Linked DNA regions of Xenopus tropicalis. The protein of the gene in region 3 purifies or fractionates together with the protein of the main gene of each other region. This does not show direct contact. Links are inferred from orthologs where the notes say so. Each region holds a gene or a part of one and is shown on either strand. Other genes may lie near its edges.

Region 1 (3,661 bases), on a different chromosome or scaffold from region 3:
TTATCTGAACAGGCAGTAACCCTTCCAAGACTTTCCCCTGTCTCTGCCCCTATATATTAGGTACCTACCTAGTGCTACCAACCCCTATTTCTGTAGGGAAATGAGAGCAGAACAGGCAGTAACCCTTCCAAGACTTTCCCCTGTCTTTGCCCCTATATATTTGGTACCTACCTAGTGCTACCAACCCCTATTTCTGTAGGGAAATGAGAGCAGGGCAGGCAGTAACCCTTCCAAGACTTTCCCCTGTCTCTGCCCCTATATATTAGGTACCTACCTAGTGCTACCAACCCCTATTTCTGTAGGGAAATGAGAGCAGGGCAGGCAGTAACCCTTCCAACACTTTCCCCTGTCTCTGTCCCTATATATTAGGTACCTACCTAGTGCTACCAACCCCTATTTCTGTAGGGAAATGAGAGCAGAGCAGGCAGTAACCCTTCCATAACTTTCCCCTGTCTCTGCCCCTATATATTAGGTACCTACCTAGTACTACCAACCCCTATTTCTGTAGGGAAATGAGAGCAGAGCAGGCAGTAACTCGTCCATAACTTTCCCCTTGTCACTTTTGGCCTATAATGGTTCTCTTCCCATGGCTTTTCATTGAAAAATAAGTTTTGGGTTTTTTTGTTTATCTTTTGTTGCTTGGGCCATCTAGTCTGTGGCATATATACAAATGGTGGTGCGGGCTCTAGGGAACACAGAGAGAGGGGTATGAGGCAGGGTACCAGCTGCCAATATGGCAACAAATGTCTGAAATGAATTATTGTGTACTATGCAGCCTGATTGTACATATCAATAAACCAGCACTGCTTCAAAATATTACATTTCTGCTATGAACCGAACCTCTGGGATGGAACTGTCATTAACTTTTTTTTTTTTTAACCTAGGTTGTGAACCTGCTGATGGGAATCCTCCTCACAGTGAAAGTAACCCACCCCGATACCGTGCCAACAGTCGATATTCAGTATGAAGTCATTGGCAACTACTATACTTCAGAGAGAGTGGCCGGTGAGTCTGTGCCAGTGCTGCAAAATAGGCAGCAATATTGTGGGGGGGGCGACATAGCAAGTTGGGGGGATAGAGAGGGTTATTGGACATAGCAGGTTGGGGGGATAGAGAGTCTTATGGGACATAGCAAGTTGGGGGGATAGAGAGTGTTATGGGACATAGCAAGTTGGGGGGATAGAGAGGGTTATTGGACATAGCAGGTTGGGGGGATAGAGAGTCTTATGGGACATAGCAAGTTGGGGGGATAGAGAGTGTTATGGGACATAGCAAGTTGGGGGGATAGAGAGGGTTATTGGACATAGCAGGTTGGGGGGATAGAGAGTCTTATGGGACATAGCAAGTTGGGGGGATAGAGAGTCTTATGGGACATAGCAAGCTGGGGGCATAGAGAGGGTTATGGGACATAGCAAGTTGGGGGGATAGAGAGTCTTATGGGACATAGCAAGTTGGGGGGATAGAGAGTCTTATGGGACATAGCAAGCTGGGGGCATAGAGAGGGTTATTGGACATAGCAAGTTGGGGGGATAGAGAGTCTTATGGGACATAGCAAGCTGGGGGCATAGAGAGTCTTATGGGACATAGCAAGTTGGGGGGATAGAGAGTGTTATGGGACATAGCAAGTTGGGGGGATAGAGAGTCTTATGGGACATAGCAAGCTGGGGGCATAGAGAGGGTTATTGGACATAGCAAGTTGGGGGGATAGAGAGTCTTATGGGACATAGCAAGTTGGGGGGATAGAGAGTCTTATGGGACATAGCAAGTTGGGGGGATAGAGAGTCTTATGGGACATAGCAAGCTGGGGGGATAGAGAGTCTTATGGGACATAGCAAGCTGGGGGGATAGAGAGTCTTATGGGACATAGCAAGCTGGGGGGATAGAGAGTCTTATGGGACATAGCAAGCTGGGGGGATAGAGAGTCTTATGGGACATAGCAAGTTGGGGGTATAGAGAGTCTTATGGGACATAGCAAGTTGGGGGGATAGAGAGTCTTATGGGACATAGCAAGCTGGGGGTATAGAGAGTCTTATGGGACATAGCAAGTTGGGGGTATAGAGAGTCTTATGGGACATAGCAAGCTGGGGGGATAGAGAGGGTTATGGGACATAGCAAGCTGGGGGGATAGAGAGGGTTATGGGACATAGCAAGCTGGGGGGATAGAGAGGGTTATGGGACATAGCAAGCTGGGGGGATAGAGAGGGTTATGGGACATAGCAAGCTGGGGGGATAGAGAGGGTTATGGGACATAGCAAGCTGGGGGGATAGGGAGGGTTATTGGACATAGCAAGTTGGGGGATAGAGAGTCTTATGGGACATAGCAAGTTGGGGGGATAGAGAGTCTTATGGGACATAGCAAGCTGGGGGCATAGAGAGGGTTATGGGACATAGCAAGTTGGGGGGATAGAGAGGGTTAAGGGACATAGCAAGTTGGGGGGATAGAGAGGGTTATGGGACATAGCAAGTTGGGGGGATAGAGAGGGTTATGGGACATAGCAAGTTGGGGGGATAGAGAGTCTTATGGGACATAGCAAGTTGGGGGGATAGAGAGGGTTATGGGACATAGCAAGCTGGGGGGATAGAGAGGGTTATGGGACATAGCAAGTTGGGGGGATAGAGAGGGTTATGGGACATAGCAAGTTGGGGGGATAGAGAGTCTTATGGGACATAGCAAGTTGGGGGGATAGAGAGTCTTATGGGACATAGCAAGTTGGGGGGATAGAGAGGGTTATGGGACATAGCAAGCTGGGGGGATAGAGAGGGTTATGGGACATAGCAAGTTGGGGGGATAGAGAGGGTTATGGGACATAGCAAGTTGGGGGGATAGAGAGTCTTATGGGACATAGCAAGTTGGGGGGATAGAGAGTCTTATGGGACATAGCAAGTTGGGGGGATAGAGAGGGTTATGGGACATAGCAAGCTGGGGGGATAGAGAGGGTTATGGGACATAGCAAGCTGGGGGGATAGAGAGGGTTATTGGACATAGCAAGCTGGGGGGATAGAGAGTCTTATGGGACATAGCAAGTTGGGGGGATAGAGAGGGTTATGGGACATAGCAAGCTGGGGGGATAGAGAGGGTTATGGGACATAGCAAGCTGGGGGGATAGAGAGGGTTATTGGACATAGCAAGCTGGGGGGATAGAGAGGGTAGGAGACACATTTACAGGATTTATGCAAGGTGCAAAGCTGTATATGTTTCTGTGCTGGTATGAGTGGGATGTTGTTGGGTAAAGTTAATATATTAAGATACCAGCCTATATGTGTGTCACAGAATGATCATATAATTGCAATAGCTGAAAAATAATAAAACACATAGCAAAACCCATAATAGTTAGTCATATATAAAATATGTGAATGAAGAATGTGGAGAAGCCCCACACCAGGATCTACGCACGTACAGGAAAGGTATAATATAAACATATGAATAGACACACATTAATGGGTAAGGCCCTTAGGGCAGAGTTGGGAATTAACCCCAGGAGCAAATCTTATTCCTGTACTACCTGTTTGTTCAGAGCTGCTTCGGTTCATATTGTCTGTATTGTCTCATCTTTGCTGTAACCTAATCTTCAGAGCCCCAGCCTGCCCCCCCCCCCCCACCAGAGATTCTGTGGTTTACCTTAAAGGGGATAGCCCCCCATGAAATACATATTAATATGTA
Region 2 (2,741 bases), on a different chromosome or scaffold from region 3:
GAGCATGGTGGTACATTGCTAACTGACCCCCCCGCCCCGGATAGATACATCATCTGCTTGCCCCTAGATCTAGCCTTGACAACAATTTTTCATAGAATAATTATTTGCATTAAAAATATGCATGATTTTAGACATCCTTTTGCAGTGTTAAAGTGGTGATGTTTAGTGTATTTCAATGCCATTTTTTACATACCTTTCATAAATATGCCCTTTTGTGTTTTGGGCTGGAAAAAGGAAAAAAAATCTAATTTACTTGCAGACTAAAAGCCCATGGTTTAAATGGTTTCCATTCATGCATATTTTTGTACACGATTCAGATCATGAATGAAAGCCATTTGAGCTGTGCATATTTGAATTAATTAAGGCCTCTGAATAGCAGAACTGAATGCATTTGTAAGACTGCTGTAACACCTTCTGTCATGCCATACAATCACACCTCCTCTCCCAATACAGCACCCCTAAATCATAGCCTCTTACTGTAACTGCTCCTATATTTTTATGGGAGACTTCCAGTAAGAAACCTCACCTAATTTATAATAAACATCACAAGAGAAACAACCCAGTATTAGAAAGTGACATTTTATTTCACTGAATTTGAAAAAACAGATTGCCCTTTTTTGTATCTGTATAAAATTTATAGATATCTTTCTATGGCAATATTCACGTTGACTCTTTGTGCACTGGGAATAAACACTATTAAGAGGGTTATTCACTATTTTGTATACAAGATGGGCAGAGTTTCTTATACAGGAAGAAGTTACAACAAAAGAGTTTGCACAAAAGGTAATCTCATAAACTAAAAATAAATCCACAGAATTTGAATACTTTACACTGCAAACATAGCAGGGTAGATATCAATTGTTAATTTTGCATTCATATTTCTCTTTCTGAATTTTACTTTTGGGTGATTGATCTACACTCTCTACTCAGTGGGAAAGAATTACAAAAGGCAGCATTCCATGGCTAATCATCCAAACTGTATTATAGCTGATAAAATGGTTATTTGCCTTTTGCTAAATTCATCAGTGAATTCACAAGGCAGTCATTTCATCCATAACAGGTCTACATAAAAGTAGGTTGGGAATGCAGAATAAAAAAGCAAGTACTTCTGAACTTCGGCAAGGACCTGTGGGAGGGTTCAAAGGTTTTGTGACCTTATTTTTAATTGAAGTGAAGTTAGCAAGGTATGACAGCACTAGAGTCTCACTAAGCAAAACTGTTGTAAGTGCCATATCTCATGATTCTTTATTCAAGTATTTGACTTGTGGTCCCTTATTTTATAGTACATATGGCATAGCTCTTAACTTTCCCACATGTCAGTGACATTATTCTCTACTGTATTTACCACCATCTAGTATATCTAGTATTAAGGCCAATCAAAAACATATAGATTTAGTACATCTATAGCATCTAGCGTATAGTTTTCCCAATTATTTTGTTGAATAGGGATCTGGGGCAAAAAGCAATGGGAATACCCAAAAGGCTTGCAATTGACTACTTTTCAACTGCTTCAAAAGCTAGGCCTAGTGTCTCTCAGTCATATGATTTATTTATCTTGAATTTATGAACCTTGTAGTTTTTTCTTGCCAGGTACATACAATGTTATTCTTTGCAATTCAGTTGAAATTTTATATTTTTTTTAATATATAAGGAGAATTCTTGATTAGAATGGTTTAAAGTTGGGTTTTTGGGGCTCTGTACAAAGCTGAAGTAAATTGAAGAGTAAATTGAAAGTGTGAGTTCAGCAACAAATTTGGCCCATGTGTAACTCACATACACATAATTCACATAAGCATTTTGGCATATAAAAATAGTTCAACCACTTTTAGTCTCAGTCTAAATACAATGCCAAAACTACTAACTTCACAATTAGTATATTTATCTTTGTGTCCTCCATGTTTCCTAGGTGTGTGTAGGCCTAACAAGTGTGATAAGTGTACGTATATATATATATTCCCTTAATGAATTTATAGGGAAGACATGAATATTCCATTGCTCTTTTCTCTTTGCACGTTGGTCTGCTTATTGTCTGTCTTCTTCCATCCTAGCAAAGGGTGGGGCCAGTATCTGACACGGACTGCTTGTTTGGCTCTGTGGCAGACTTAAGAACGGGGAATTTAATGGCTTGTGATCTGACTGCTTCCTCATAAGAGGGCAAAACTCCCTGTAACAAAAAGAGATAAAATTGTGGGTACATAGAGAAGTGAAAATTAGAAAGTTACAACACAATAAGCAAAGTAAATTGGTCGGTATTTATAGTTCAACCACCAAGTCTAGAGTTGTTATCAACATGTGCTCCATTACATAGCCTATGATGAAGTGCATTATAGCAGGAAATGCAATAATGTAATAATATATATACGTTTTTACTTTATTGAAAAGTCATAGTTGGATTTCCCTGTAGGGGGCCAGACACCCAAAATTTCAACTGGTGAGTTTGTATCAATTGAACTTTCATGGTAAAACTTATCTGATGGACAACTGGTGACATCTAGTGATGTCGCAGAGACAAAAAAGTTAGCAAAAAAAAAAAAAAAACGCCTATTGACTTTAATGCATTTGGAGTGAGAAAAACCACCCACTGACTTGAAAAAAGTTGCTCGTAAAAAATGTCACCCACATAAATGATTTGTTGTGCTTAAAAAAAGTCGCCTATTGACTTCCATGCGCTTTTGCAAATTTTTTCAGGGAAGCAAAACGGGAAAGATTCACTCATCACTAGTGACATCACTGCAAGAAAC
Region 3 (3,661 bases):
CTGTGAATTTATTCGTATTCCTCTGTTCATTTGATATTCAGTGATTTGAAATATGATATCTCAGAGAGAATAACTTGTAACTGTATTATTTGTTGTTCATAAAATAAGAAAGTTGGTCAAGTGGCTAAATACTGTTCAAATGCACAGCACCTGTTCCCTTAAGTTTTTGTGGGGTCTTTAACTTCTAGGTATATCTCTGTAAATAGGACTCTAAAATTGTTATACTAGCTTAAACACGATATGTGATAGAACTGGCAACATACCTCCAGCTCATTTTCATCAAATATTTTTATCAGGTCTTGCGGGATCAGTTCAAAGAAACCCTTAAAATGAATGAAATCATATTAAAAAAGAAAATAAATTACCTATATTCCTAATTTGTCAAACCTAATAAAATGAATTTTCCCTCTGCTGCACCTTGTTGTGCCTATCACTGTAAATGTACTGAAATTATTCCACAATAAACATATTTAAGGTTAAGACTCCTAGGCCGTTCAGAGAAAATTATACTTTTGCGTTGAACTGACAGTGACCCTGTTAAACATAGGAACCCATTGAGCATAACTTAAGTGCCCCAGTGATAGCTCTTTGTACCACCCCCCTGCACACTAGGCTGTTATTTTTTTTATTATCTTATTTGCCTTCCAGGTCTCCCAAATGGAGAGAAACAGAGGGATGTGCAGCTCCAGCAACTGGACAGTATGAATGCCAGAGGTTATTACACAAACAACACTGTAATTTTATTGGTGATACTGATATTCTTATTTATTGCAATTTTTATCCATATCAGTATCCTGCAGCCCGCTAACAGGTTCTGGTCACTGCCACATATGTTTGAATACATTGTAATAAGTGACTAGGTGAAGGCAAACCATCACACCTAGATACAGTACAAAGATCACACATTAAACATAATTTGAACATTATTTACCTCTTTGAATGCAGCCATCTGTTTTTGAACTCTGTTCATAAACCTCCACTGAATAACAAGACTGCATAAAAGAAACAGCAGGAATTTACTTCCAGAACAAAAATAACTTATTCTAATGCTGAATATGAACCTTACTGTTCGGCAAATATAAATAGGCAGAATGTAAATGTATTTGAGTTGAGCACCCACGTAGCAGCAGTTTGGGTTTAAAGCTTGCTAGTTTATTACTGTTAATACTGTTATCAATAAATGGTTCTAAAACTGCATTGCTTGGCATAGTGCACTCAATACTGCCCTGTATTTATAAAATAAAAGTTTAGTCCCAACATAAATTTTACTTACCGCAGCTATGGGCTGCTCGGAGCTAACGCAATAAACAAAAATATGCAGATACATAAGGTACCCTATGTAGAATATCTCATCTTAAGGGTTATAAATAATTTAACTCACATATAATAATAGGGATAAAAGTAGGGATGAACTGGGTTTATAATGGGGTCAAATATAGAGTCTGCCACAAAAAAAAAACACTAAGCACTGAACCTAATCCTGATTTGCTTATTTAAATTTGAGCAGAAAAGCAAATTATGTCATCTGGAAAAACTTAACCACCTTCATTTGGCCACTGTACAATCTGCCCTGCTGGCAGGTAAAGCGTTAAAGGCAAAGAAAACTTGAGTGGAAGATATTACATAGTTATCTAAGAAATTCTTCAAAAGCAACAAACCAAAATTGGAACACATGCATTGAGTGCTTCTCCTATTAAAGCCAACAGGGAAATGACAAGAAGTATTTCCTATACATCATACTATGCAATGCACACTTACTGTATGTACTCTTTTTTGTTCTTGTTTGTGACTAAGATTTGTGAACCACCAGCCTTCAACTCATGTTGATGTGTCTATCAAAAAGTTACAAATTCAACATCAATAATCTCTACAAGCCTACTACATGTTAACACATTTATAACTCATTGTAGAGATATATTTATAAGAAATATGGCTTTTCCCCCACCTGTCCAAAAAGTTCCTCATCAACAGTGAAGCACAGATCTAAACCTGAAGGATCATTTTCTAGTATCCACTGGAGGGAATTGTAATATTCACTGTCCTGATAAATAGATAATAAAAGTGCAGTTTAGACAAAAGGCAAGAATCATGCCAGTTGCAGATCCAACATACTTACAATAAGGGGGCATTTATTAACATTCAGATTTTAGAGATTTTATGACTAAAACACATTTTCACAAGCACTACTTTTTCGAACTGTCATACAAAAGCCAGTGTCAAAAAGACCCATAAAAACCTCTAAAACCACGAATCAAAGATCTTCCAGTTGTAAAAGGGACATCTGATCTTGACAGGTTTTAGATGGCTTATTTTTGCTTTCAGGTTTGTCGTGATTTGTCACATAATAGATAGCGGAAAAAAATGTGTTCTTTTTTCTCCACAACAAAATTGTATCTTGGTGTCAAAAAACCTGAACCAAAAAAACTGGGTGGTAGTAAATGTCCCCTTAAAGGAGAAGCAAAGTAAGGTATCTTACTTCCTCTCTCAGAAAAATCCTTAATTGCCTTGGGCAGAGTCTGCGCAGTTCTCTCCTTTCTCCCCTCTCCTGTCCCCCCTCCCTTAGGAATGGGTGATGTGAGCTAGACTGCAAACAGGAAGCTGTTTAAAATGGCAGCTGCTGTCTTAAGCAAACAAAGAAAGCTTCTAGGGCTCTTTACTCAGGTATGGCAATGCTTCCTGCAGAATAAATATATTGTTCTAGGTGGCACTAATGTGGCAAATTGGCTGTAAAATGCCAAAATGACTTTCCTTCTCCTTTAAGTGTGTGACAATCATAACATATCCTTTATGCCAGCAGCAGTCCCTTGGTTATAATATATAAACTAAAAACTCTTTCAGTAAACTACCCAACTTACATCTTCTCTACTATTATTGCTAGCATAGGCTTAACAAAGATCATACCGACGATGAGTGGTACAAGCCAGGTTATCGGGATTCAGCTAAATCTGAGTTCTGAAAAATCCTAGATTATGTGCATCCCTAACTGTTATTGTTGAACCTGAAAATTAAGGTTCCTGAATGCCTTTAAGGATTGGCTTGAAAAATCCAGCTTTTGGTGTTGCCTAAAATATATACTTGCTCAGTCCTCTCTGCACTTGAAGTACTGATTTGTTCCTATTTTCATATACAACTTCCTCAAATTTCATATTTTCGAATTTCATATTTATTTACTACATATTGTGTGCAGCTTGAAAAAGCAAAATTTTATAAAAAAAAGAATCTGTCATTTTACTCAAAATATCTGTCTTTCCAGCTATTCAACTCTCAATGTTTTTCTCTATATAAATATATATATATATATATATATATATATGTGTGTGTGTGTGTGTGAAAACTAAAGAAACAGTAGAAACATACATCAGTATAATTAACAAATAGGGCAAATAAAACATACCACAGACTCCATGTCATACAATATAATTGGTTTTTGGAGCATCATTTTGTAAAATGGGCGAATAAAAAATGCTGTAAAAGAAAATAAAATTGATATATTTATTAGTATAACCACACAGTCCTTTCTGTATAAACATTTACAACTATACAAGTCTAGATACAGTATAAATCCAGCTTTAATAACAGACAGTTTGATTTGCATTAAAGGGATACTATCATCGGTTTAAAAAGTGCTGTGATGTCACGCTAATGTCAGACTGGATGACTT

The links.
Region 1: the proteins of nedd4 (region 3) and laptm4a purify together in Homo sapiens (affinity purification with western blotting; 3 studies listed by BioGRID). This does not show direct contact. The link is inferred for Xenopus tropicalis from reciprocal best matches to the Homo sapiens genes NEDD4 and LAPTM4A.
Region 2: the proteins of nedd4 (region 3) and laptm5 purify together in Homo sapiens (affinity purification with western blotting; 3 studies listed by BioGRID and IntAct, with this or other methods). This does not show direct contact. The link is inferred for Xenopus tropicalis from reciprocal best matches to the Homo sapiens genes NEDD4 and LAPTM5.

Annotation. Positions count from the first base shown.
Region 1 is NC_030681.2:143,075,074-143,078,734, reverse strand, and holds part of laptm4a (lysosomal-associated transmembrane protein 4A), read left to right. Parts: intron 1-884; coding exon 885-1,005; intron 1,006-3,661. UniProt on the Homo sapiens protein: May function in the transport of nucleosides and/or nucleoside derivatives between the cytosol and the lumen of an intracellular membrane-bound compartment.
Region 2 is NC_030678.2:83,118,997-83,121,737, reverse strand, and holds the end of laptm5 (lysosomal-associated transmembrane protein 5), read right to left. Parts: intron 2,165-2,741; coding exon 2,045-2,164; 3' UTR 563-2,044; downstream 1-562. UniProt on the Homo sapiens protein: May have a special functional role during embryogenesis and in adult hematopoietic cells.
Region 3 is NC_030679.2:100,490,700-100,494,360, reverse strand, and holds part of nedd4 (E3 ubiquitin-protein ligase NEDD4), read right to left. Parts: intron 3,466-3,661; coding exon 3,395-3,465; intron 2,042-3,394; coding exon 1,946-2,041; intron 1,833-1,945; coding exon 1,759-1,832; intron 993-1,758; coding exon 932-992; intron 324-931; coding exon 264-323; intron 1-263. UniProt on the Homo sapiens protein: E3 ubiquitin-protein ligase which accepts ubiquitin from an E2 ubiquitin-conjugating enzyme in the form of a thioester and then directly transfers the ubiquitin to targeted substrates. Specifically ubiquitinates 'Lys-63' in target proteins.